Linked DNA regions of Tribolium castaneum. The protein of the gene in region 2 purifies or fractionates together with the protein of the main gene of each other region. This does not show direct contact. Links are inferred from orthologs where the notes say so. Each region holds a gene or a part of one and is shown on either strand. Other genes may lie near its edges.

Region 1 (12,534 bases), on a different chromosome or scaffold from region 2:
CTAAGTTTTAGGGATCTAGTTGGACAAAATCTACGAGAAAGTGAATATAAAGCAGTTTATTAATTGTCACTACATTTGACAATATTTTTCAGTTGTAGTTGTAGACTGCGCTAACACTAAAGACATTACGAAGACGAAAAATATGTTCGAGTGTGTGTGCCCAAAGGACATGAGGGTGGCTGCCGTCAATAGATGCTTAGCAAATAGCGATCATCCATGTTGTTGGGAAGTACTATATGATTATAAACCCGAGACAAGAAAAACATGTAGCTCAGAAGACGCGAAAGACGCTTTTGAGGATATCTTAAAATTTCGACCATTTAACGTTAGCGTAAAAAACAGCGATAAACAATTGATCGGATTTCCGTTGAAGTATCGTGTACAGTTCACTGTTGACAATTGTAAATGCAAGAAGCTGGATATTGAATTTTGTAATTTTATGAAAAACCTTAGTGTCTAGAATAATTAATAAAGCAAGTAGACATTAATATCACATTTTTTTTTAAACATGTAAATTCCCATCTACCTAATAACTACTTATTTTAAAATCTTTTTTGGCCTCCAGTACTGTAAAACGTGAATGACAGTTGCCCATTCATGAAAGGTAACTTGACCTTTAAACACGATGCTGTAAACTGGTAGCAAACAATTAGGTAAAGTAACCACAAAACACTGGACGATTAGCAGTGTGAGGAAATTTTATGGGGTGGCCATGAGGCCACAACCGATCAGCTGACTCGTCATAGCGCTCTCGCGATGTTCATATTTATCGATGAAATGGTCCGTTATAGCGCTTGCATTGGCGTAGTTTACTAGGGGGTTTATACAATTAATGTTACCGGTTGATTCGTCAGAAACGTTACGATTTGTATATTTTTTTAAAAAGGACTTTAAAGAAGGATTATTTAGTTATCTACAAAATGTGCTCGGGGTGAAATCGCAGCGTATTTCCCTTTGAAACGTGGTGTGGTTGAAAACATTTCAAGAGCTAAAAATGGTAAATAATTAAAAAAATATTAATGTCACACCAAAGAATACTTTAAAATGAATTACAATTTCGTAATTTAGTTCTACTAGGTCGCTTTTATGCTTTTTAAATAAGTACATGAGATAAAAATGTTCTTTTGACTTTTTAGATATTATTAAAATTAACAGAGAGTTAGGGCGGTTAAAAATAAAGGTATAATATTAATAGATAAGTGACATTAATTATTTTTTAATTATTTACGAATTACGATTTTTAGCTCTCGAAATGTTATCAAAGGCGATGAACACGCTTCAGAGGGAAATACAGTTCGGTTTCACCTCAGGCGCATTTTGCAGTAATTTTAAATTGCAATAACTTGGTGAGTCTTACAGATAACGAAATGATTCTTGCACCAAAAATTTATTTCAAGTATTAGCTTTATTTCGTCTCGATTATGTGGGAGTCTATCTTTTAAATTAAAAAACTTTCTCGCATCTCGAAAATTTCACTACACAATTATACAACGTTACAAGAAAATGTAATTTTTTTGGTTTCCCTTTATCAAAACTCAACCTTGTTAAACTACATATAAATCTGCATTTATTGAAAATTTGTTTGCAAAAAAAACGGAGTTTCTAGCTTTATCCAGAAGGAAGATATGAGTATGTAAACGCAAAATGTGTCCAATTTTAGGTGTTTGCAAATTTTTAGCTAAAACGTCTTTTCAGCCCCTTCGCGAGGGTTGAAACAAAAAATTCTTTGTCTAAACATTTTTTAATACTCTTTCCTAACTTATATCAACAATGTAAGCTATTCCACAACATTTCGATTTAAAGGTTTATCTGACTGCAAGCGCGCGCCCATGCATTAACCTTCGCCCATAAAGTTTCCTCACACTGCGATTAGACATGTTTAAGATACAAACCGTGCTTACCATAATTAAGTTCGTATAACGAAATACTTGTTACCTATAATTATTTAATTCAATCGACCATGGTGTATATTTAATTAGTGAAAATATAAATCCCCCGGAGCAGCGCCACCTATACATACGTTTGGGAACCACAAATTTTACATTTTTTTTCACATTTTTTATTTTGCACCAATCTTTAAACGTACTATATTGCGCCTCGTACCTTGTCTTCGATTTTTCAGGCAATAATTGTTTTGTAGCACCCTCTGCAAGTTGCCTTATTTCCGGAGGTGTAGCGGTGAAACTATCACTTTCACCACTGTCGCTCATCTTGGTTGATAATGGTTGATAGATATAAACGTGATTTGTGATATAATTAAATTTGAAATCGTCGCTTGATTTTCACAAATTTAACAACTGTCAAACTGTTTCAGTTGTTTAACATGGCGGCCAAAGCCTACTATGTTTAAGTGACTTTGAGTTTTTATTTATTTTATAAAGAATAATATTAAAAGCTTGTCGGCCAAAAAGTTTTATACAAATCTCATGCGTTAAGTCATTTTACAGCGCTTCAACTAATAAGGCACTCGCCTTTCAGGCTCGTGCCTCAAACAAAGTTGTCACGCTGTAAAATGTGACTTACCGCATTCGAGTGTAAATAGCTATTAATTTCCTTCAAAAATGTTTAGTAGTCTATGAATGAACAGATACTTAGCGGTTCCATTTTGGACCTAATACATCGATGGTTTTCTTAATATCTGGAATGGAATAACGCAAAATGGAAACAATTTTTGCGTTTTTCTCGGAAACTGTAAGACTACAGGAACAAACAAAAAATCATTAAACCCGGAGTCGCTCCGGGCAACGGTTCCGACTAATAGTTTTCGAGAAAATTGCAGATAAATGTAATTTTAAAAAATTCATAACTAAAAAACTATTGGGATATTGGCAATTTTCTTGGTGCCAATCGATTCCCCGGCGCCTTTACGCAATGTTACAACCTTTTGCCTCATTATTTTCTTATTTCTGTCAGTTTTATGCTTTACATTTATACGTCCATGTGTTCTATCAATCTCTTATTTTTGTTTACGTGTTGTTTCACTTACATTTTCTACACTTTTATTTCATAGAAAAATTGTTGCCGTGATCCGGGTAACTACATAATTGCAATAATTCTCCTAAAATGCAAATACATTTAGTTCAAAAGTCGGCGAATTAGCTCGAGAAAGCATTTTGTTCTACTTTTTTCAATTTAATTCTCTAATTTTTCATCAGATTTCATCAAAACATACCGGGCGTATAAGTCAACTAAAGTTTGAAGTTATATTTCACCTTTACGTTAATCTTTTTTTCTCTCAAAACAAAAAGTACGTTTACAATTTGGGGCCTTTACGTACTTTTACATTTTTGCCGCATTATTTTCTTATTTCTCTCAGTTTTATGCTCTGCTTTACGTTTATTCGTCTATGTGTTTACTCAATCTCTTATTTTTGTTTAGGTGTTGTTTCACTTACCTTTTCTACACTTTTTTTCATAGAAAAATTGTTGCCGTGATCCGGGTGCGAACACCCGACCTCCCCCGCCGAAAGTGGCGCTTATACCACTGGGCCACGAGGCCCTAGGTACTGACCGTCTTTTGCAGATATTTTAACACAAACTTTTTAATTAAATCAACATTACTAACTATATAATTGCAATAATTCTCCTAAAATGCAAATACATTTAGTTCAAAAGTCGGCGAATTAGCTCGAGAAAGCATTTTGTTTAACTTTTTTCAATTTAATTCTCTAATTTTTCATCAGATTCCATCAAAACATACCGGGCGTATAAGTCAACTAAAGTTTGAAGTTATATTTCGCCTTTACGTTCGTCTTTTTTTCTCTCAAAACAAAAAGTACGTTTACAATTTAGCGCCTTTACGTACTTTTACATTTTTGCCGCATTATTTTCTTATTTCTCTCAGTTTTATGCTCCGATTTACGTTTATTCGTCTATGTGTTCTTTCAATCTCTCATTTTTATTTGCGTGTTGTTTTACTTACCTTTTCTACACTTTTTTTCATAGAAAAATTGTTACACCTGATCCGGGGTTCGAAATTTTAAACTCACTCTAGCAAATTTGTGTATAGTTATAGTTTTGGAGAAAAGAATAAAAGACTTTCAATGTTTAATTTTTTATTAACAAACATAATGACTCTCAACATTTTTACAAGACAAACACCAATCACAACTTTGACTTTGTTCATACAATTAACTACCGCTGGTCCCCTATTCCAAAGCTATCCTAAATATTTTTTCAAAATTTACAAGTTCGATTTCATGAAAGGTTTTAAGTACGATTTGAATGACTTGTTAACTGGCTCGGAATTGAGTGGACTTTTGGATGCTTCTTCATACAGTCTTTCGTACACGTTTCCGTCATAAGCTCCCAAGGTAGACCCTAGAACTTCGTCACGAATGTCAAAACTATCAACTATTCCCACTGCATTGGGGCGTATAAGGGCCAAGAGTTCTTCCAGCCAGTCCTGGAGTGTCTCCACATCTTGTCCGGTGATATTCGTGAACTAAACATTACGTAGAGTATTACCTACCGACTGCGCCAATTAAAAAAAAATACTTACTCTAAAAAGATCCCCTGTTAATCTAAGGGCCGTATAAACGCCATACAAGTTCAAAAGTTGTACCAGAACAGTTTTGAGCTCTTTAGAGACGTTCAAACCGTTAACAGTGTTGTAAAACGTTGTAACAATAAAACACCGACAGTGAGCTTCGGCAGCCGCCACCAACTCAATCGAAGTTTCATTCCAGGCATCTTCGTACGACTTTCCATTGCGCACCCGGGCATTTATACGGTTATTTGCCAGTTCAATTTTACTACAATCAAATTTAGCAAACCTTCAGTAACCACATTAACACCCACCTTGCCGCAGTTTGCTGCAGTGCGTGTATAATCCACTCAACTGACTTTTCAAACGGGTTACTTTTGCTCATTTTGCGGCCCAAGTACGCCACAGTCGCCAACTTATCCAATTTGTTACGATTCTGCCACGACTTTATAAGAAAACGTGATGTTTGCAACAGAAGTACGGTGTTTTCGCCCTCGTAAGTGCACATTGCCGTCACTAGGCCGTAAGTTGAGGGCAGGTTGGACGAGGTCATGTAGCCGTGGCCCCCACAGGCCAACCGGCAAATTTCCACACCCTGGGCTGCATCGGCACTGCTCACAGCTTTAAGGCAACAGGCAATAGCGTGGAGCTTAAAATGCGCTACTCAACGGACTAAAGTGGCTCAAGAAAACTTACTTCAGGCAAACTCTCGAGCTGACCGGACTCCAGCTCGTTGGTGACATTGTTGTAAATGTCCCACAGCCAAGAGGCACTATACTGGAATGCAAAATAAGTGGCGATGTGCGGGAATAACTTATACTGTTGCGTCACGAAATCGATTATTTGGGGCTCGGGTGCACTGAAACACCACAGACAAAATGAACAAGTAGGCTTTTTTGGCGACTTACTCGGGTTTGATTTGTGATTGGTGGCGAACGGCGCTGTAGCGTGTTGCTATGGTTACAGCCTTTCGCAAGTAGTGTGCGGCATCCTGTACTATCACAACTCGGACGAAAATCATTGTTCCGTAAGTTAGCTTACTACTGGGCGATTTAACGTAAGTGCCATCCTAACGATATTCCCATGTAAAAAAATCGAAGCTAATAATGTTACTTACAGGTAAAACTTGACTATTTTTCATTAACATGTTAATCCTGGGTATTCTGACGTTGTCAAAACCCAGGTAGCCGTTGTTGGTACTGTTCATGCCAAGTTTGCAGCCAATTTCTCCGATTTTAATGCCTGGTAAAGGCTCGTGCGTTTCCTCATCACGAAGCTGGACTATAAAAGGGTGGATTCCGTGGCAAGTGCCTTTTGTGTACAGTTGGGCCACCACAACTGCGTAATTCGCGGAATGGCCCACTACAAAATTACAGTCAAGCTAATTTTTTGGATTTTTTTTTACTTTTTTACATCCTCCCGGCCACCATTTGTACGAAGTGAGGGTTGGACTGTGCAAAACAAATTCCTCTGTCGCGGGATCGTAGGTGGCTGTGGTTTCAAGACCTCTGATAAATGTGCCATGACCTAATTCAGTCTATAATATATTATAAGACAATAAAAGTTGCGTATATTATAGGATAATTACTTGTGCGTAAGTTCCTATAATATCACAATTCCATGCCCTTTGGATCCATTCGGCTTGTTGGTCAAACGTTCCCTGTCCCATCAGCGTCGGGATAAACATAACATAGTGCAGCGTCAATGGATTGCCGTCTTTTAAAATGGCAGAGCCTAGCTGACCACCCAAAATTTCTCTGCAAAGCGATTTGGAATCGTGGAAACTACTCTCATTTGTTTAAATTTACAAGCCAATCGGGCTTTAAAAAACAACCTTCTTACATATTCATGACTCAAATGTAATAAAGTTGCGTCATGAACCCAAAAAAATGAAACAAACAAAGTTGTTTCAGATATCTATAAAATTACACGGCAAAGTTCGCAACGCTTGCAGATAACGCAATGATGAAGCGAATTCTCCACTGTATTAAAATTAGTTGCTTCAATAAATCTGACAATGATTGTGATTAGATAAATGCATTTGATTCGGCGTCGAGACGGTCGGAACCTTCCATACCTGAAATTGTCCATACCGCCTTTGCCTTGGTTCTGGAGCTCTTGTACTTTTCGGAAAATAATACAAGCTTTTCGTACGGCATCTTCATATTTCTCCTTGTGACTTAAATACTCCAGTGGGACGTTCGATTGTAGCTCCGGGTCTTCGAGGAAAAATTTTTCTGAAAATTACGGGGCTAATTAACAAAATTTTAATTGCCCACAATGGCGGGACCCACTCGTTACTTAATTACATGGAAGCGAAATTAGAAAGTTGCTCTCTCTTGTGAAAGCACGTACTATTATTAGTTATTTAATCGGGAGAACAGTCATTTATCGGTTGCACACGGCAGGTAACAACGTTAAAAGCGTTCGGCGATTCGAAGTTCGCGCCCTTCGTAAATAGCCGACGTGACCCGATGACCTATAGCAGTATTTCCCCCAAACTGAATTGGTACAAATTGCAGTTTATTACATTTGACTATTTTTTCCAATTTCGACGGCAAGGTGTAAGGTGTTTAAGCATGTTTTACAGATAACTTGACATTAAAAAATTACAAAACCTGACTTAAATATTTCAAAAAGACTGGTTCTTCTGCAATCAGGAACCAATCCAATGAGAACAACTGGCTTTGCAGGTGTCATTGGAATTTTGTGCTTAATTTTTTCGATCGATTTCTCGAGAAGTCATTGATGATATAATTAATTTGTCGTTAAGAAGAGCAAAGTTCATACCTCTACTGTGTCTCTCCTCTGTTTTTGTAGCACTGCCATCCAGTAAGTGTGTCAGTTCTAGAGTATTGAATGTACATTTTTCTCTCTCTTTAATGAGATCAGGATTTACTGATTTTTTTCTGTCCATTTTCGTTAAATACACAAAATAAACAAAAGATTATACTTTGAACCACTATCACCGACACTCTATGACAGTACTACCACATCACTACACACGGTAATTAATCATAAATCTATTGCCACCACTGCCACTCCTGCCTACAGAGGGCGCATGATATTTCACCCAACAAACTCGTCACCTCAGACTTCTTAACCAGAGAAAGAGAGAGCGTAATTGGGCGCCCAGCAAGCTAGAAAGAGACGGGGCGTCCAAACGACACGTCCCTCTCCCTCTACCAAGTCTAAGATCGCACTTAAGCCAAACAAATGAGTATAGTTTGCTGTGGCTCAGGTGACTAGAAGTATACTTTGCACTCTTATTGCTCATTTGACTATGTAATTAATTTTTTTATGAATTAGTTTCGTTTTTGGTAATTGAAGTCCACTAAAATGTTTGAATTTCATGGCCAGCGACGTGTCAGGAGCCAGGGGCGAATGCGCAGATGCGTCGTTTTTTGTGCAAATTATGTCACATCCTTATGATTCCTTTATTGGTTATGTACCCTAAGTAAACAAAAATTTTCGGATTGTTTGATGAATAAATGTGGACTTGTAAATAAATGTTTGGTTGAAATCAAAAGAAGTAAAAAATGAATAGGGAGATGCGGCAAAGTCACAGGACACCGAAGAAAACGCCAATTACTGACGATTACGACATTACTAAGACGGTTTTAGGCCTCGGGATCAACGGTAAAGTCGTCGAGTGTTTTTCTAAGGCTACAAAAGAGAAGTTCGCTCTAAAGGTGCGCTGTTGTAAGTTGCTCAATGCAGTTTGTCAATTGAACGTTTCAGATACTTGTCGAGAGCCAGAAGGCTAGAAGGGAGGTCGATTTGCATTGGCAAGCCAGTGGCTGCCGCCACATAGTCAATATAATCGACGTCTATGAGAATAAATACAATAACAACCCTTGTTTACTAGTTGTGATGGAATGGTGTGTGCGCGGTTTTTACTAATTCGGGAGTAAGTTCCTTTGTTGTAGCATGGAGGGCGGAGAGCTGTTCCAGCGGATTCAGGATAAACCTGACGGGGCTTTCACTGAGAGAGGTATGCGTTTGGGTAATAGTTCGATAAATGACACGTTTATTAATTTAAGAGGCGGCACAGATCATGCATGAGATATGCATTGCGGTGAAATACCTACACGATAATAACATTGCACACAGGGACTTAAAACCAGAGAATTTACTTTACTCAAAGAAAGGTACTTACGGTATACTTAAGTTAACTGATTTCGGCTTTGCTAAGGAAACTTTAGTGAAGGACACCCTTCAGACGCCTTGTTATACACCATATTATGTTGGTTCGTTAACTCCCCAATCAATTGGCTCCCAATCTTACTAATTATTTCCAGCTCCTGAAGTTTTAGGGCCTGAGAAATACGATAAGAGCTGTGATGTTTGGTCTTTAGGAGTCATTATGTACATTTTGTGCGTATAAGTAATTTTGTTAAGAGTTGTACTAAGTGATTGAGACAGGTTGTGCGGGTTCCCTCCATTTTATAGCAATCATGGCTTGGCGATTTCGCCAGGAATGAAAAATAGGATACGAATGGGCCAATACACATTCCCTAATCCTGAGTGGCAAAATGTTAGTCAAGACGCTAAAGACCTTATTAATGGTATGCTTAACGTGGATCCGGCCAAGCGACTGACAATTGATCAAGTCATGAGCAATAGATGGATTGCTGTAAATGACTGTTTTAGTCCAAGGGTCCACCTTTTATTTTCATTTTTCTAGCAATACACAGCTGTGCCTCAAACCCCCTTGCATACTCATAAAATGCTAAAAGAAGGTGAAGAGATGTGGCCTGAAGTACAGGAGGAAATGACGCGCTCGTTGGCCACAATGAGAGTGGATTATGACCAAGTGCATATAAAAACGCTAGAAAATTCAAATAACCCGCTGCTGAATAAAAGGCGTAAGCGTTCGGCGAATCAAGTGACGCTAAAGGAGCAGAAATAACGTCTAGTGATTTTATTTCTTCAAATCACCACGGAACGTGCATTTTGATTAATATGTTTACAAACAAATCGATTTTAGCTGAATGATTAGTGCCTAATGGAATAGGATTTTAACGTTTTAAAATTGTATTAATTTAGTTACAGTTGTATTACACCGTTTGTAGTACTATTATTTGGTAATAGTAATACAACACACGGTGCAACAACATAATGTTAAGAAAATGTATTATATGCTACGATTGAAGGTGCTTTTGGAATTTCCTGTTCAAGAGAAGTGTCACTGTTGATTAAAAATTTACTACAAAATTTATCAGACATTTCGATTTCATAAGCATCTTGATTTAAATATTTTTTTAGAAAAAACGTAAATCATTTTCACGATTTACTAGCACATGATGAGTGCTATTTTAATGTAAATTGCTAATAAACTCTTAATAAAGTTACTTAAATTGTTCCTAACGATAACTCTATGTACTCAATTTTTTCAGTTGCAAGGTTACGATACGAGTTTGTCTTATAAATAAGACGCAGTGTTTTTCTACTTTTTTTTAAGAAAATAATAAAATGAAAGAAATTGGACGTATAGCTTCGTTTTAAATTTTATAATATCGCACTAAATTAAATAGACAAAATAAAAAAAAATGTTTTTTTTAAGTTTATTTGTAAGTCCAAACACAATCAGAACATTACAAACATGGAACAGAACATCATGAACAATATAATATTAAGAAATTCAAATATAATGGTAACATTTTCAACTTCTAGTTAGACTAGTTAGGATTTATAGCTTGCGAAACAAGCGGCAAAGCTATATTTAACACATTTTCAACTTTGGTTTAATTGGTATGTTTTAAAAAAACATACGGAACATTGCAAGAAGGAACATTAACACCAAAAACAATATAATACTAAGGTTTGCACAGTGAAACATTTGACTAGGTATCGTTTAAAGCTTTAGACCAATCAGCGAAACTACCATCACTTTTTTACCTTGACTGAAATGTATCTAGTCTTAGCAAAATCGTTTCATTGCACATAAATATCAAAAGGCGAAAGTTCTCCGGTAAGAACTTCTAATACTCTTTGAGTACTATTGGTGAGAGTTATAACTTCACCAATTCGACTAGCAAGTTTTGCAAACACAAACAGCAAAACTTGTTTCATTACAAATAAATAAAAAAAAAGTAACGTAACAACCTAAAACTAGCAGAACGATTAAATCAGTACGGATTACTGATTTTCATTCGGTGGCTCGTTTGAATTATCTTGCTTCTCCTGCAGGAGAGTCTTCTTAACTTCTTTCTTTTCTTTCGGAGAATTAACCGTAACTTTTTCTGACAACTGTTTGAGTTTAGCAACGGTTTCAGTAGAAATATCTTCCATCTCCGAAGTTAAATCCTTTGCGTTCGAGAACATGTCATCAAGTGAGTTTGAGATCTGTGAGGTGCGGTCCACAGTCATATTATATTGATGGCTTACCATCATGTAAGCTTCAAATGACAAACCATCCCTGGTCGCAACAACTCCCTACAACACGAAATCTTTAGGCAAAATCACTCAAAATCAATAATCCGTACCTCATTATGAGTCGCTACACCTCTTCTAATAGCATCAAAGAAACTACGAAAGTAGTCTTGATGTCGGCTGTGATTTTGAGCAACTTCCTCCAAGCAAACTGTTTGGCTTTGCTGAATTTCTTCTTTAGCCGCCTCAAATCTTCTCTGAAGCGAAATCAAATGAAGATGTGCCTACAAAAAAATGTAAACAACCAAAGCAATTTATGGTTAAAACCTTACAGTCTCCTGATTGAACTTAGTAAAAAGCGTAATTAACTTATTGTCGATTCCTGGAGCTTTTTCCTGCAACAATTCGGTCAGTTGACCAGCATACCCCCTTATGTAGCACATGGTCTCCAATTCCAAAGTCAAATCCTCTTGGGTGTTAAGAAAATTCTTAGTTATCTTGTCCAACAATAGCAGTCTTTGATTACTGAGGCTCATTAAATGTTGAATTCGCAAGTAACGTTTTTGCATGGTTGCATGTAAATTAGTCAGTAGCGTGTAGAATCTCTCGTACATGTCGCTCAGTAAGGAGTACTGCATCCCGACATCGTCCTCATACTGAAACGTTGCCTCCGCCAATGATGTTTTGGTAGATTCTATATAACCTTGAAGTTTGCACAGAGTTGCTTTCACTCTGTGATAATTATCAGCCAAGATTGAATGATTCTCGATATGCATGGTCGTTAAATTCGCCCTGGCGCTAGTTTCGGTGAACTCCGACGCGCTCAACAAAGAGTCCAACGTGCATTTTAGCGAATCGGCAAATGCGCAAACATTGCTTAGGATAGTCCTCAAGCGTCCCAAATTCATAAATGTGACCTCTCTAACCTTCTCATTATTTGTGGCTATATCAGACAAATTCGATCTCTCATCGTTTTGGAAGAGTTCGACAGCGAACTCAACCCCGCTCAAGGCTTCGAAAGAAACGTGGACCATTTCTGTGGCAATTTCCGCATTCTTTGCCTCGGCCTGGGGTTCACATTTTTGGGTTGTTTCTTGCGCCAACTCTCCGGTATCAGGATAATACTTTTGGTGCTCACATACGCCCTCTAATTTTGTTATTTCCGCCGTAAGTGCGACGGCTTTTTCATGGTTTACTTTAAGTTCCATCAACTTTGCGTAGTTTTCGATCTCCGCTCTGAAAGACCCGGCTGTGCCTAAATCCCGGCGTAGAGAACTAACTTCGTCTTCTAAATTCTTCACTTCATCATCTCTGCGTATGTTTATTACGTTGGGGACCGGGTTAGTGGAGACGCCTCGCGCCATTTGCACGTAGTCCAAAGTAGTGACTGTGTCTTCAAATGCGTCACTACAGGGTGAAATTGTTGCAATAATCGAAGTATTGCCTTTGCCGTTGAGGCAGTCTTGCAAAACTCGGGTCAGTTTTGAGTCTCTCATGGGAACATGTTTAGATTCAGAAGCGAGGGCTTGAATCACTGTTTTGAAAGTTTGAAGCGCCTTATTAATGACTAACGCACCACACGATGCAAGGAAATTACTTCCAGCTAAATCAATCAAGTGAATTCGGCCAGTTTTAACTATCTTTTCACCCTTAAATGATTCGAAAATCGTAACA
Region 2 (12,744 bases):
GTGTTATTATTTACGTATTATTTGACTGACAAAATAAATGAGTCTAAAGTTCAAAAACGAATTAAATCAAGTATCAATTTCGATTCAATTTGGAAAAAAAATGTCCCCCAAAAATCTGCTTAATTTTCAAAAAAGGCAATTTTAATACCATTTCCTATCCATCAAGGAGGCTACGTTTTTATCCTCCCTAAACCAAACTCACTTTATTGCTCTCTGGACTATTCCTTTCACATTCAAGGATTTTTTCAAATTTGTACAACATATCAGCACTACATTTCATCACATGGTTGTGATACCGATTAGTGTGCGGGTGCTGGATTATGGTGGTTAGAGCCTCCACAGTCACTTCCATCAACTCCATTTCTTCTGGAGACATGCATTCAGGATCCGTCTTGTTCCTTTATTATTTTAACTGAGAAAATTTCCAAAATCGATTCCTGAACTTACCAATATGCGAAACACGTCAAATTTATTAAAAGATTCATAACTGACGTACAATCGTCAATATTTAAACCGCCTAACTGTATCCAAGCAGACGCACATCTTGCCGCATTTAAATACGTCGTCAAATTTAACATATCGAAGCTAAAAGATGTGTGAAAAATTGTAAGAAATTAATTTAAAAGTGCGTAAATACCCGGCACTTGGAAGTGGCATGAGACACATCTCGACCACTTTAAGGATGTCTTTCGAAACGTCTTGCAAGACAGTGCGTACCCTCATCCGTTGGCTTACTGCTAATAACGTGCTTTGAAACTAAAAAATTACCATGATCAAAGTCGCCTGTGACTTAAGTGTTGCCAACTCAATTTCCGAACCCTTACCTCTTCTGGTATCACAGTCAGGATTTCTAAAAGTATCCAAATGACTCTTTCGGGCTCAACGTTGGGCAAGTGCTGGGGCTGGAAACTCGAAACCAGCTCTTCAAACGCATTGGGCCAATGCGTCGGCACAGTGTGTATAATATAAGCCGACAACTGGAACAGACCATAAGTCGAAGCTTCCCCCTTTGTAACTTACAGTAATGCAGAGCCGGTTCAGGACAATTTTGGGGCCCATGGCATAGTTAATAATCGCCTCCAGAATGCGCTTCTTCAACAGCTCGTAATGATCCTCCGGCACCTCATTCCAGTGCTTCATCAGCTTCGTATGGAGCGTCGTGGCAGCAAAGAACTGCACTTCGGAATTCTGCAAATCAAAGCTCACTTTACGCACTGGCGCGAAACTAGGCTTACGCGATGGGGGCTCAACAACTCCCACACGAAGCTCCACGCTTGGGGCGAATTCTGGGCCTCGGTCAGCCACTGGTGGGCCTCCGCCTGTTGCCCCGCTTCGGTGCGGTAAAATAAGGTCACGGCTTTTTCCAAATTTTCCGCCGTGTATTCCATGCTTGATGCGAATTTAAACCAAATCTTCGAATTAATTACGAGTTTGTTTTTACTTTTGCTACATTTTACGGAGTGACAGTCGGCGTTACGTCGATAACTGTCAAAAATACGCGCTCGTCAGCAGTCTTACGACACGCGCTGGGGGCCAAGGGGGCTGACACCAACTGGGAAATGGGGCGTTTTTGTGCACTTTTTGCCACGATAAAAAACACAAATTGTCGATTTACGAATTGGACGAGGTTAAGGCGCCCCCACTGTCGCCAACCCAAAAATTACAATTTTGGAAAAAAATTAATAAAATTGTTTAAGCGCAACATTTTTTTTAGTGTTGTTTAAAACGGTGTTTATTGATTATTTTAAATCATCCAAAGGCTGGAAAAGGGCAAGGAAAAGGGTGTTTTTCGTGTGGTGTTGGTTGCATAGACAGCCGTCACTCTTTTGGCAGCTGGTTGATTAGAAAAATGGCGGATACCACAGAAAGTGAGTTTGTTTAATAAACATATAATTTCAATTTTTGTTATCAGTGTTGTGATAACGGTCAGAATTGGTTTAGATTTGCGCTAGTGCGAGGTACATGTTTTGATTTTGTCGCTTTTATAGATTTGGACAATAGTGGTAGCCTTAACCCCCCAATAACAATGAAAGTGGATGCACCAGCGGAAGAAGACAAAACAGGTAACCCAAACGTTTCGCTTTGCTCGTGTTTGCTTCACGTGCCCCGTTCCAGAAGCTGGTGACAACGAGAAAAACGCCAAGAACGAAGAATTCAAAACGTGCACTCCTGATAGAATTCCAGTAACAAGTGTTACAACAAACCCGTTCGCTACTTCACAAAACAAATTGGCAACGCGTGGCATTTTGAAGCCTCCTCAGTTGAGTCTAAACAACGCTAACAATTCCGCAAAACCGGCTGTTATTCTAAATCCGAGTCGACTGAACCCGTTTGCTAAACCAACAAATGATGGCGCCAAGGAAGAGAGCAAAACTGTTCAATTGAACGGGGAAACACCAAAATTCGTACCACTGGTGCAAACAGAACCAAAAACGAACTCAACTCAGCCGGTTGTAACAACGGCCAGCACAACCCTCTCGACAACTTCCTTCGTTTTTGGACAGAACCTACAGGACCGTGTTGTGGGCAGTGACGCGAAAGCGGACGAACCTAAACCTTCGACTAGTTTAAATTCCAATGGGACGTCGGAAATGCTCTTTAGCAGCGCTATTAAGAGTGAGGGCAAAACTGATGGAACCATTACCAGTAAAGAAACGAAGTCGTTGAGTGAGTCGGCGAGGGAGTACGAGGAGTCGAGGGCCAATAAGAGGAAGTACGAAGAGGTGGAAATTATCACGGGGGAAGAGAACGAAACGAATATTTTAAACATTAATTGTAAATTGTTCGCGTTTGATAAGGCGTCTGGGAGTTGGCAGGAGAGGGGCCGAGGGGTTTTAAGGCTGAACGACTTTGAGGGCGAAGGGCACGCGCAAAGTCGGCTGCTTTTCCGGACAACGGGGATTTGGAGGGTTATACTGAACACCAAAGTGAGTGGCCAGGTTATTTCCCCGGGCCTATGAATTTTTTCAAAATTTTTCCACATTTGTCTTTAATCAAAAAATAAAACTGGTTTCATTAAAATATATTAAAGCTGGTTAGTTAATTTCGGTAATTTTTTAGATTTGGGCGGAAATGACTGTAGAACAGGCTAGTGAGAAAAGCGTGCGGTTCACGGCGATGGACCCGCAAGGTGTGATCAAAGTTTTCCTCGTAATGGTGAATTAAAGTGATTTTTTAAATAATTTTTTATTGCTCGTTTGTTTCAGGCTAGTATTGAAGATAGTAAACAACTGTACTCACAGATCCAGCTTAGAGTGCAGAAAGAAATAGCAGCCCAAAAACATAAAAAACTTAATGTAGATAAAGACTCAGGGGGCAATTAAATTGTTTACTAAATAAAACATTTTCACGGTACCATTGTGCAGAGTTCATTTTGATAAAACTACAAATGTGATGTAAATTAAGTTTTAATCTTTAAACAGTAACGTTTTTACAGAAGTTTTGTCACGCTCATCGATTCTAGTTATTTAAAATCTAAAAGTATCATTTAATTGGATGTGTTATATTTTGTAATGATAAGCAATAAAACTTTGAAAAAAGTACAAGCCCTTTTGCTACCCACAAAAATGAAACTATTTAATTCAAACAATTATTAAGCTGACATGACTACAGTGAAACCCCTTACAACTGCATACACCTAAACAAAAGGCAAAAAATGATCATTTTCCGTTGTTCTGGTTAAATAAGTTACAGACAATGGGATAATGATTTTAACGGGGACAGAGATAAGCAATGAAACTTGTAAAAAGACCAACAGTATATTTTTTGGGGCATACAAAAATAACAATCTGCACAATCTCAATTCTACACAATATCGAAAGCCTTATTCAGCGTTTCCAAGTCCCGATTATCCACTGCCGCCCTAAGTTCCACCTTATTCAACAAAGAGATACACATTCGCAACGTGGACCATATCGTGTCCGACATCTGCGACATTGCGGGTGAATTTTTTACGTCCCTGCCCCTCGCCTGTTGGTTGAGAGCAGTTAAAAAGTGTTCGGCGGCCTCCCTGTAAAACACCTCTCAAAAAAAATACACTCCAAATAAATAAAGTCACCTATAGGCCCTTAAATTTATACAAATTATTCCTACATTATACCGCGCTCGTATAAAACCAGGCTCTAGGTCTAGTGCGCGGTGATACGCCTCCACAGCCTCCTCCGATTTGGACCCGTTGGCTAACGTCGCCCCCAAACGGTTCCACAATTTGGCGTCCTGCAAAACCAACTTAACAAAAATCCCTAAACCAGTGCCGTTATTACGTCGTATTTTACGGACAGCGCGGCTCGGAAACAATCAGCCGCCTTTTCGTACTCTCCAGATAAATTGAACAAAACGCCGAGACCACACTGTACTTCGTAATCAATATCCACAGGTTGTCGTAAAGCGGCTTTTATGTATAAGTCCTGGATGAATCGCTGCTGGTTCCTATGTAATCGTAAAATTAATTGCGGTTTGAATTTTTAAATTAAGTTGGCAACACTTAAAATAAAATGTTGCCAATTTAATTTCGCGGCCACTTTGACCGAAACTTTGAAGGCACAAAGGTTATTACAGAAGCTGAGCTTAGCACTAATATTTACAAAGAGTCACTCAAAGCCAGCCCCCTCACTTACGGCTGTAAAAAGCTTGTAACTTGCCCAGTTAGTTGAAAATCGGGTGGCACCAGATCGCTATATTTCGGGTTATTTGTGAGCCATTTGAGCAACATTTGTGCAGCCTGACTGTAGTAACTCTCGTTGGTGTAACAGACAGCCAAGGCCATGAGCGCCGTTAAATTATTGGGTTCCAGTTCTATACACTTTTTCAATGCCGGTATGGCATTACAGTCCTGTTCGTTTTCCGCTTGGGTTTTGCCTAATAGTAGCCAAGCTTCGCTGTTTTCAGGCTCTTGTTTTACGGCCGCTTCGAAACATAAAACAGCCGACGGCAGATCGCCGTCTTCGAGCAGTTTTTTGCCTCTTTGTAAAGGGTCAGGAATATCAAACATGGGATTTTCTTCGGTAAAGGTATAGTCGTTGTATGGGGCAGTATAGTAGGAGTCGAATTCGCTCGCCCAAGTGTTTTCGCTAGATTCGGCGCCTTCTAGAGTTTGTTTGAGCTCTTCCTGGAGGTTGTTCCAGTATTTGGAATTGAAATCGTCTTCTGAAATTAGGGCTCAAGGCTAGTTCTCGACCTAATCATTCATTTTGTATTAAAACAAATAAAATTTCTTGATATCACTCGTAAAAATCAAGACTTCTGTAACTTAATATTAAATATTTAACATTCATGTGGGATAAGAGCATTATTCACAAACTGAGCGAAAATTGCACAGTTGTGTAATCGGATAAGTTTGTTAACAATGCGTTATCACAACAAAAAATCCATATCTTAGAAACAGCTTTTTTATATCACTCGCCTGTATTTATTTATTTGGACTTTAAAATGTGATATTTTTCAAGAATTTTTTTTTGAAATTTCTTTTAGGTTTCGAGTTATTAAAAAATATTTTTTTAATGGCACACTTGTACGGCGATTTTTTTTTTTTTGGATGACGCTTGGTTCCAACGTAATTACAGCAAATAACGAATACAGCGGAAAGTTTTAATAAATTCAATGCTTACATTCGAGAGTAAAATTAAAAATTTCCTTTTTAATAATTAACTTTGCTCAACTGAGTTAGGTAAGTGATGTTGATAATAAACATAAAGGAATTTTTTCCTGTGTATTTTTTTATTTTCTTAAAGAATTCTTTCTTCTTGCCTTTGTTCCTGAGAGACTGGCAGTGATTTTTCTTTTTAGTTTTCAGTTCTTAAGTAATTTCCGATTTTTATTTTTATTCAAGTTCTATATTGTTTATTTTATTTTAATTTAATTTTTTTATATTTTCTGTTAATTTTTCTTTGAAGGTAAGTTGAATACCTTCAAGCTAGACTGCGCCTTCTCATCTGTTTATTATTGTTCAATTTTATTTAATAAAAAGCTTTGATTTATTATTATTATTATTTTTATAAATAAACTATCAAAAAGAAAGTAAACAAGTGTCAAGAACATAAAAATTAAAATAAAAACTAGATTTTAAAGATAAAAGCGCTATTAATAACTATTAATTAATTTAAAAAAATGTATTTTTCAATTAAATAAAAATTGAATCCAGATGAAATTTTCATAGGAAATTAAACTTTTTTGTATTTCATGTGAATAAAATGTGGAAAACAAATACACAAACAGAAAATAATACAAAAAAAAAGAAACTGGTTTAATTTAAATCCTTGATAATTATTTAATTTATGATCTCGAAATTTAATAAAATTCGCTTTTTGGTTTTTACTTACCTTGTACTATTTTTTTTTCTGGTAATAATATATTAAAAAAATCGATAATTTGTTCTGAAAGTATAAAGTGATAGGTAATCATGTTAACTACATTCAAAAACTTAGTTCAAAAATCTAACAATTGAACAGCTATATCTCGTAACAAAAGGCTTAAACAATTTTTTATCAAAACGATTTCTAACTCAGTTGGATGTCTTTTTTCATTACCTAAGATATATGATATTATTCTGTATAATCGATAATTTTTAATCGCCAATATTTGCAAAACCTCAAAACCCTAGCTCAAGCCTTTTGGTTTATTACTGATTTTAACATTTTTGTAAAAAATAAATAAAAACTTTTTAAGGAAAAGATGGTTACCGTAATCCTTTTCCCACTTTTTGGCGACTTTTTCAGCCTCCGCTTCGTTGTTATTTTGGAGGAACTCCTTGCTCCAGGACTGCGCCTCTTCCTCCGTCAGCCTCCCGTCCTCCAAATTAACATCACCATCGCCGACTTGTTTCATGAATCTCATAAACTGAAACCTATTCATTATTTACCGTCCCCAAACCCTGACGTAACGTCTGACCTTCGAATACACAAATTTGGGGTCATCAACAGCCTCAACAAACTCCCGAGCGCTCTGCTGCGAGGCATTTACCTTGCTGGGCCCTGGCAGTATCTCTGGGAAATTATCAGTGCCCCAGTCGTCCACCACAGCCGCATTGTTCTGCTCCTGCGAGAGGATCTCCGTCCAGATCGCCTCACTGTTCACATTGTCCTTGAACACAAATGACAGTGCAAAACTCACAACCAGCGCCTATTTACATTGAAGATTTTCCCGTCGTCGATGTACTGCTGCGCCCAGGCGTCGTCGTGGATCTGGTCCTTGATCGTGGAGGCGGGAATTGGCGGCAGCGCCGACCTTTGAGACTCAATTTCGTGCATTTCTCGCATCAAATCTGGAAGCGTCACAGGTGAATTACGGGGGTTTTAACGCACGGGGGGGCCCTACCGTCCATCCGGAAGCTCTGGGGCACCGACTTCGTCTCTTGCAGGAACTGCTCGACCAGTTGGTCCGAGCTGCTGGGGAAGGCATGCCCGTGGGCCTCCGCGAAGGCATGATCGTGGGTCAGGTGCGACGTCAGGCGGGCCAGGGGGTTCTTCTGGCCGCACTCGGCCTCGGTCAAGGGGTTAAATGCCATTTTTTCGGTTTTTAGCCCAGTTTACACAACCAAGTGCATTTTATCAAAACAAATTCCAGATTGACGTAAGTGACACTGACAAGGCCACTGGCACGGCTGCCAACCGGCACCAGTGGCAAGCCACAATCACCAAAAAACGTGATAACTGATAAATAAAACTTTTTTTCTAATATTTAGTTAATTAAACACAACATTTGGCTAAAATAACGTAAATCTGATCGAATGTTTGGCTTAAAAGACTTGACGCGGCGCCAACTTGGTGCGTATAGTGACATGTCATAGTCACCAAAAATTGAGGGAAGCCCCGGGAGTGAAACAACTCGTTAAAATATATTTTATTACATAAGTAAATACAACAAAGACATCACAACATGGAAGTGATTATAGTCAACAAATTGGGTTAAAATAAATTAATCTGATAAAATATTTGGCTTGGAGAAAAAAAACACGGATCATCGTAATATTAAAACACAAAAGGTTGATATGGGTGTCACATATGTCGAAATTCCATTTCCACTAACAATTACGACAACTCAAACCCAGTGTTGCAAGTGACAGCGTACCGCAGCTTCTCCCTCAAAGTGCTTTTCTTTTGGTAGTTGGGCAGCTTCAAAAGATTGAAACAAGTGGAAGACGTCGGTAAGCGATTCTGTGGGTCCTTTTTCCGTATCGTGAAAAACCCCCGAAAGACGCTTCCTGAAATCCCCTCCAGATTTTTCCAAAATCTAACAAATTGCAAAAAAAATACCGATCGTGTCTCCCGTGTCTTCATCATCGCCAACTTCGACACACCTAATCGAAAAGGGCGGCTCCAAATGAGCGAAGCCTAGAAGCGGCGGTTTGGAACAACTTGTCACAAACTGCAATTACCTAAGTTAGGAAAATTGGGCTTTAAATTACGGGGGGCACCTTTAGGAACATTCCTTTCTCCTCCTCGGTGAAATCCTTTTCTAAAATATCCCACAGCCAACCCACCACGCGGTGCGAGTCGTGAAAACCGCCGTAATACTGAGTGTGTTTGCGCAAATCTTTCATGTCTAAGGGGACATTATCACCCGAGATAAGGCGTTGCAACTGGAAATTTATTGTTAAAAGAGCGTTTTCAACGGTTTGAACCCACTTCAGGTGTTGAAAAGAGCGACAACCAGTCGGGGTTGATAATCGAGCGGAAGCCGCGAATGAAAGCGCTGGTTTGGTCCTTGATTTGCACGTGCATTCGGAAGTGGGCCATCAAGTGGATGTAATTGATCCTAAAAGCACAATTCATTGGAATTAAAACAAAAATATTCGTGGAAAAAAGGAGAAAAAATGGTAATTTCAACAGAAAAAACAAAAATTTGAAAAATGAAATATAAAGAAAGACAAGACTTTTTACGTCTGACACTCCAAAGGAAATACATTAAATATCTTCATATAAAAAGGTCACTAATAAGAATTTTCTTTTTTTTATCTTTTCCTAAACCAAACTTTCTTTATTATTCATAAAAACTTCGTCCGTATTATAAGTTCTCACTTAGAAAAAATTATACTCTAAGGATTTTATTTTACTGAACATTGCAGAATACATATAACATTATTTGTATTATCCTATGTTCAGTTTTATTATTATTAATTATTATTATTATTTATCCTTTGAAAAAAACTCCGAAAATAAAAAAATGCCTCACAAACGATTCTTTGCTTCGAAACAAAAAAACTTTATTAAAACACTCTGCCATAATCAAAATAATAATTACTTCTCCACTTTCAAGTAGAGCATAAAATCATTGAAGCTAATTTGGGGACGAACATAAAGTACAAAAACCAAGCATCACAACAAAAAGTGCCAAAGCTGGACTTCAAATAAAGTAGGAATTAATAACACAAAAGTAATAAAATAAGTGAATAAAGTAACAAAATAATTACTTGTTCTCATTTGTCACGGGGACGGCTTTGCCCCCCGCCACCAACTCATGCGTGACCAACTTCCCCATGCATTCCTCGTCTAAACTAAACGTTAAGTCTAAATCGGAAACATCTCCATCGTAATGTTTCACATAACTTAAACTTCTGTACAACTCCGGGTCCAAAGACGGCAATTCATCGACGCAACTGTACAAAGCTTGAGCTGTTTGTCCTGAAACCTGGCTTAGAAAAAACGAAGCGAAAGGCACATCGACTACAATTCCTTCATAGACGGCTTTGCCCAGCATCCGGCCCACAAATTCAAATAATTGCAAGTGGTTGTCTTGCAAATATGAAGTGGGCGAAGGGTACAAACGTTCCTCACTTGTTACTTTAAACAAATTTAGAGAGGGGTCAAAAATACGTTTGATGCTCTCTTCAAGGAACTCTTTAAAAACGCCGTCTTGATCAATCCCGGCCTCGTCTAGACCTTGCTCGTTGATAAAACGAACCCTTATTACGCCTTTAAGGGCTTGGGGCGGGAGGAGGGCCAGTTGGCGATAGCCGTCTTCAACAATTCGAGACCTGGATTGTTTTTCGTTAAAAAAAAACACGAAAATTGAGTGGTTTTTTTTACCTGTGAACTGTGATCAGAGTCGACTGGGGAGAGGCACAAGCCGACTCGGTTAAACCCAAAACGGTTTTTTCGTTTGTTATGTATTTTCGAAATAGTCGCACTCTATCCTCGTGTGGTATGATATGTGGCATTGTTTGGAGGAGCAATTGAGGGGCCTTTCGGCCCTTTTCTAGATCGGCCATAAATGTCGATATTTTTACATCTTTAAGTAACCAGTGGCCTTGAGGAGTGTACGTTCTGCGACAGTCTCGCCGATACAACAACATTAATAAAGTGTGTAAGGACTGGAACAGCGTGTTGGTCTGAATTGTCTTTAAATCTGCAAAAAATCAAAATAATGGTTTTAAAAAACAAACATTCTTGGCCTAATTTCGTGACTTTTTGACTCATTTTTGGGAAATTTCGAGCAATAATAGCTTTTATTGCCAAAAAAACAGTCGAAAAAGGGAAAAATACTACAACTTTCGACCTAATTTGGTCATTTATTGCGTTAGTTTTGACGAAATTCGTTAAAATAATCGCATTTTTGACCAAAAAAACGTATCAAAAGATTACGTAGTTTATTACATAATTGAGAACTAATTCGGAAATTGAGATTTCCTTCTCAAAAAATCTAAAATACCATCTTCCACTTTTTCTGGTAGTCTTTGGTTTACTGTTCAGAAATTTCTAAAAATAATTCAGAAAACCCAAAAAATGATAAGTTTAACCAAATCATTACCAAGTTTAGAAAAATATCACGAGTTATAACTGAATCTTTAGTTCAAAAACTTACTTAGACGCTCGAAAAAAGGGCAAAATTAAACCATGTTCGATTTCCATTTGAGAGTTTTAAAAAATAAACCTGTTTCTGTCCGAAAAACGAGTTGAAAACTTCAAAAAAAAAGAATGAAAATTGGCTATTAAGACCTATGTACTTTATAACAAAATTTAGAAAATTTTCGGTAAGTGGCATTTTTAACTCAAAAAGGTGGTTAATTTCTCGAAAAGGACAAAAATAATTCCACCTTCGACCTAATTTCGTGTCATTTTTGACAAACTTCGAGCAATAAATATGCTTCAGATTAAAAAAAAACTTTCGGAAAATGTAAAAATAATGTAAACTCTGCTTTTAGCTCAAATAATAAATAAAAAATGTTCAAACAAAACAAAAATAGCACCACTTTCATCCCAACAGGGCATATAATCAACTAGTTGTGATGAAGTTTCTCAAAACAATCGCATTTCTGGTGAAAACACTCGATTAAAAAACATTTAAATTTTAAATTACAAAAAACGTGCTACATTTTGCTCAAAAGAAGCAAAAAATAGGCAAAAACCACATAATTTTCGACCTAATCTGATAATTTTTTGGTTTTTTTTTGGACAAAAATGAAGGAAATAATCGCATAACTTTATCTTTTTCTTTACAAAAAAATGAGTATCTCAAAAACCTGACTAAATACGCAAAAAAGACCAAAATATAACATCATTTTTTATCCATTTCGACGATTTATCAGTTTATTTCTGTAAAGAATTCTAGAAATAAATGCGTTTTTGGCTGAAAATGCACTGAAACGCTTGGAACAGGCAAAATATTTTTTCCTTGCTTTATCGAAAATCCGTTTTTAATTTAAAAACGTGCTCAAAAATAACACCATTAACGATCTACGACTGTAGTGATTTTTAAGGCAATTATTGAAAAATTGTATGTAATAACTTAAAAAAAGTGACCACATAAGCAAAAAAAAAGAAATTAAGTTTAGTTATGACATTGTCAATAAATAAAATTTTGTTGAAATAGTTTGTCCAACTTGCTATTTCTGGTAAAAATTAAATTAAGTTTGAAACAATGAGTAAAATAGGGACAAGATTTGAAATTTGTAAATATACTTACCAAATAAATTCCCTAAGACGGCTTTGTACAGAAACGTGTTTAAAAACGAAGATAAAACAATAAAGTCGGTTAATTTAAACGGGTTTTGTTGCTCGTACATTTCCACATCATCAAGAATCCTAAAATAAACCCATTACCTGCGTTCTAGGGCAGAAAAACGCCACTTACGTTACATAATGAGTCATGCAATCACAAAATAATTGCAACATTTGAAACTCGGGAGCTGTGCACTTTGTGTTAATTGCAAGATGATCTAGGAACGTTTTAAGCCCACAATTTGGTCCAAGTGAGCACAAGAACAGCCACAAATCGTACAAAATTGAATTCTGATAACACAAACCTAAAATACAATTTTTTCTTCCACAATTTGCTAACATTTTCGCCGCCAAACCTGTTAAAATATCCAACTGTAGTTGAGTCAAAGTATTCAAAGCCGTATGATACAGCGAACACACTAACACGACTCGATGAACTTCGGGACTTCCCAGCGCGCGATAATTTTTCTGAGTGTTGGTTTTGTTGCCTCTAGATTCCAAAACCTTCTTAAAAAAATTCGATCCAGTGAAATTCATGTTTTGTGGACTCGAGCTTGGCTGGGGCGAGTCCACATTTAGGACAAGTTGTTGTAAAAGATTGCCCAATAGAATTTGAACAATCGGTGAGTTCCATAAGAGATTGAGTTGGATTTTTACGTGCGGCATGGCCGCGTTTAATGCTGGGTCCATGGGCTGGGCGAACCAACCCAGCACTGGGTGCCAGTGGGTGAGGTTGGATTGTTTATTGACTACGTAATTTTGGCAACTTTCGAGTAAACCCGTAACAACAACCTGGAATTTGATACAGATT

What was found.
Region 1: the proteins of Pex5 (region 2) and ACOX1 purify together in Homo sapiens (affinity purification with mass spectrometry; 3 studies listed by BioGRID, with this or other methods). This does not show direct contact. The link is inferred for Tribolium castaneum from reciprocal best matches to the Homo sapiens genes PEX5 and ACOX1.

Annotation. Positions count from the first base shown.
Region 1 is NC_087403.1:4,258,061-4,270,594, reverse strand, and holds ACOX1 (probable peroxisomal acyl-coenzyme A oxidase 1), read right to left. Parts: upstream 7,539-12,534; 5' UTR 7,403-7,538; coding exon 7,276-7,402; intron 6,723-7,275; coding exon 6,563-6,722; intron 6,243-6,562; coding exon 6,074-6,242; intron 6,023-6,073; coding exon 5,899-6,022; intron 5,848-5,898; coding exon 5,603-5,847; intron 5,555-5,602; coding exon 5,394-5,554; intron 5,345-5,393; coding exon 5,182-5,344; intron 5,135-5,181; coding exon 4,800-5,134; intron 4,754-4,799; coding exon 4,501-4,753; intron 4,444-4,500; coding exon 4,183-4,443; 3' UTR 4,038-4,182; downstream 1-4,037. Other genes in the region: MAPk-Ak2 (MAP kinase-activated protein kinase 2), read left to right, coding at 8,025-8,177, 8,227-8,366, 8,415-8,479, 8,529-8,735, 8,787-8,862, 8,911-9,121, 9,173-9,397; kinesin-like protein KIF11-B, read right to left, coding at 10,627-10,923, 10,974-11,144, 11,193-12,534. UniProt on the Homo sapiens protein: Involved in the initial and rate-limiting step of peroxisomal beta-oxidation of straight-chain saturated and unsaturated very-long-chain fatty acids.
Region 2 is NC_087395.1:23,158,375-23,171,118, forward strand, and holds Pex5 (peroxisomal targeting signal 1 receptor), read right to left. Parts: upstream 7,604-12,744; 5' UTR 7,502-7,603; coding exon 7,312-7,501; intron 7,259-7,311; coding exon 7,125-7,258; intron 7,078-7,124; coding exon 6,886-7,077; intron 6,835-6,885; coding exon 6,678-6,834; intron 5,146-6,677; coding exon 4,617-5,145; intron 4,433-4,616; coding exon of another isoform or gene 4,429-4,432; coding exon 4,263-4,428; intron 4,216-4,262; coding exon 4,058-4,215; intron 4,010-4,057; coding exon 3,805-4,009; 3' UTR 3,740-3,804; downstream 1-3,739. Other genes in the region: cdm (importin-13), read right to left, coding at 203-398, 448-585, 638-756, 825-977, 1,021-1,188, 1,236-1,388; RanBP3 (ran-binding protein 3), read left to right, coding at 1,850-1,868, 1,989-2,063, 2,116-2,927, 3,061-3,156, 3,207-3,323; ubiquitin-protein ligase E3B, read right to left, coding at 8,025-8,197, 8,250-8,361, 8,411-8,575, 8,622-8,751, 9,407-9,970, 10,023-10,341, 11,899-12,017, 12,067-12,238 and 1 more.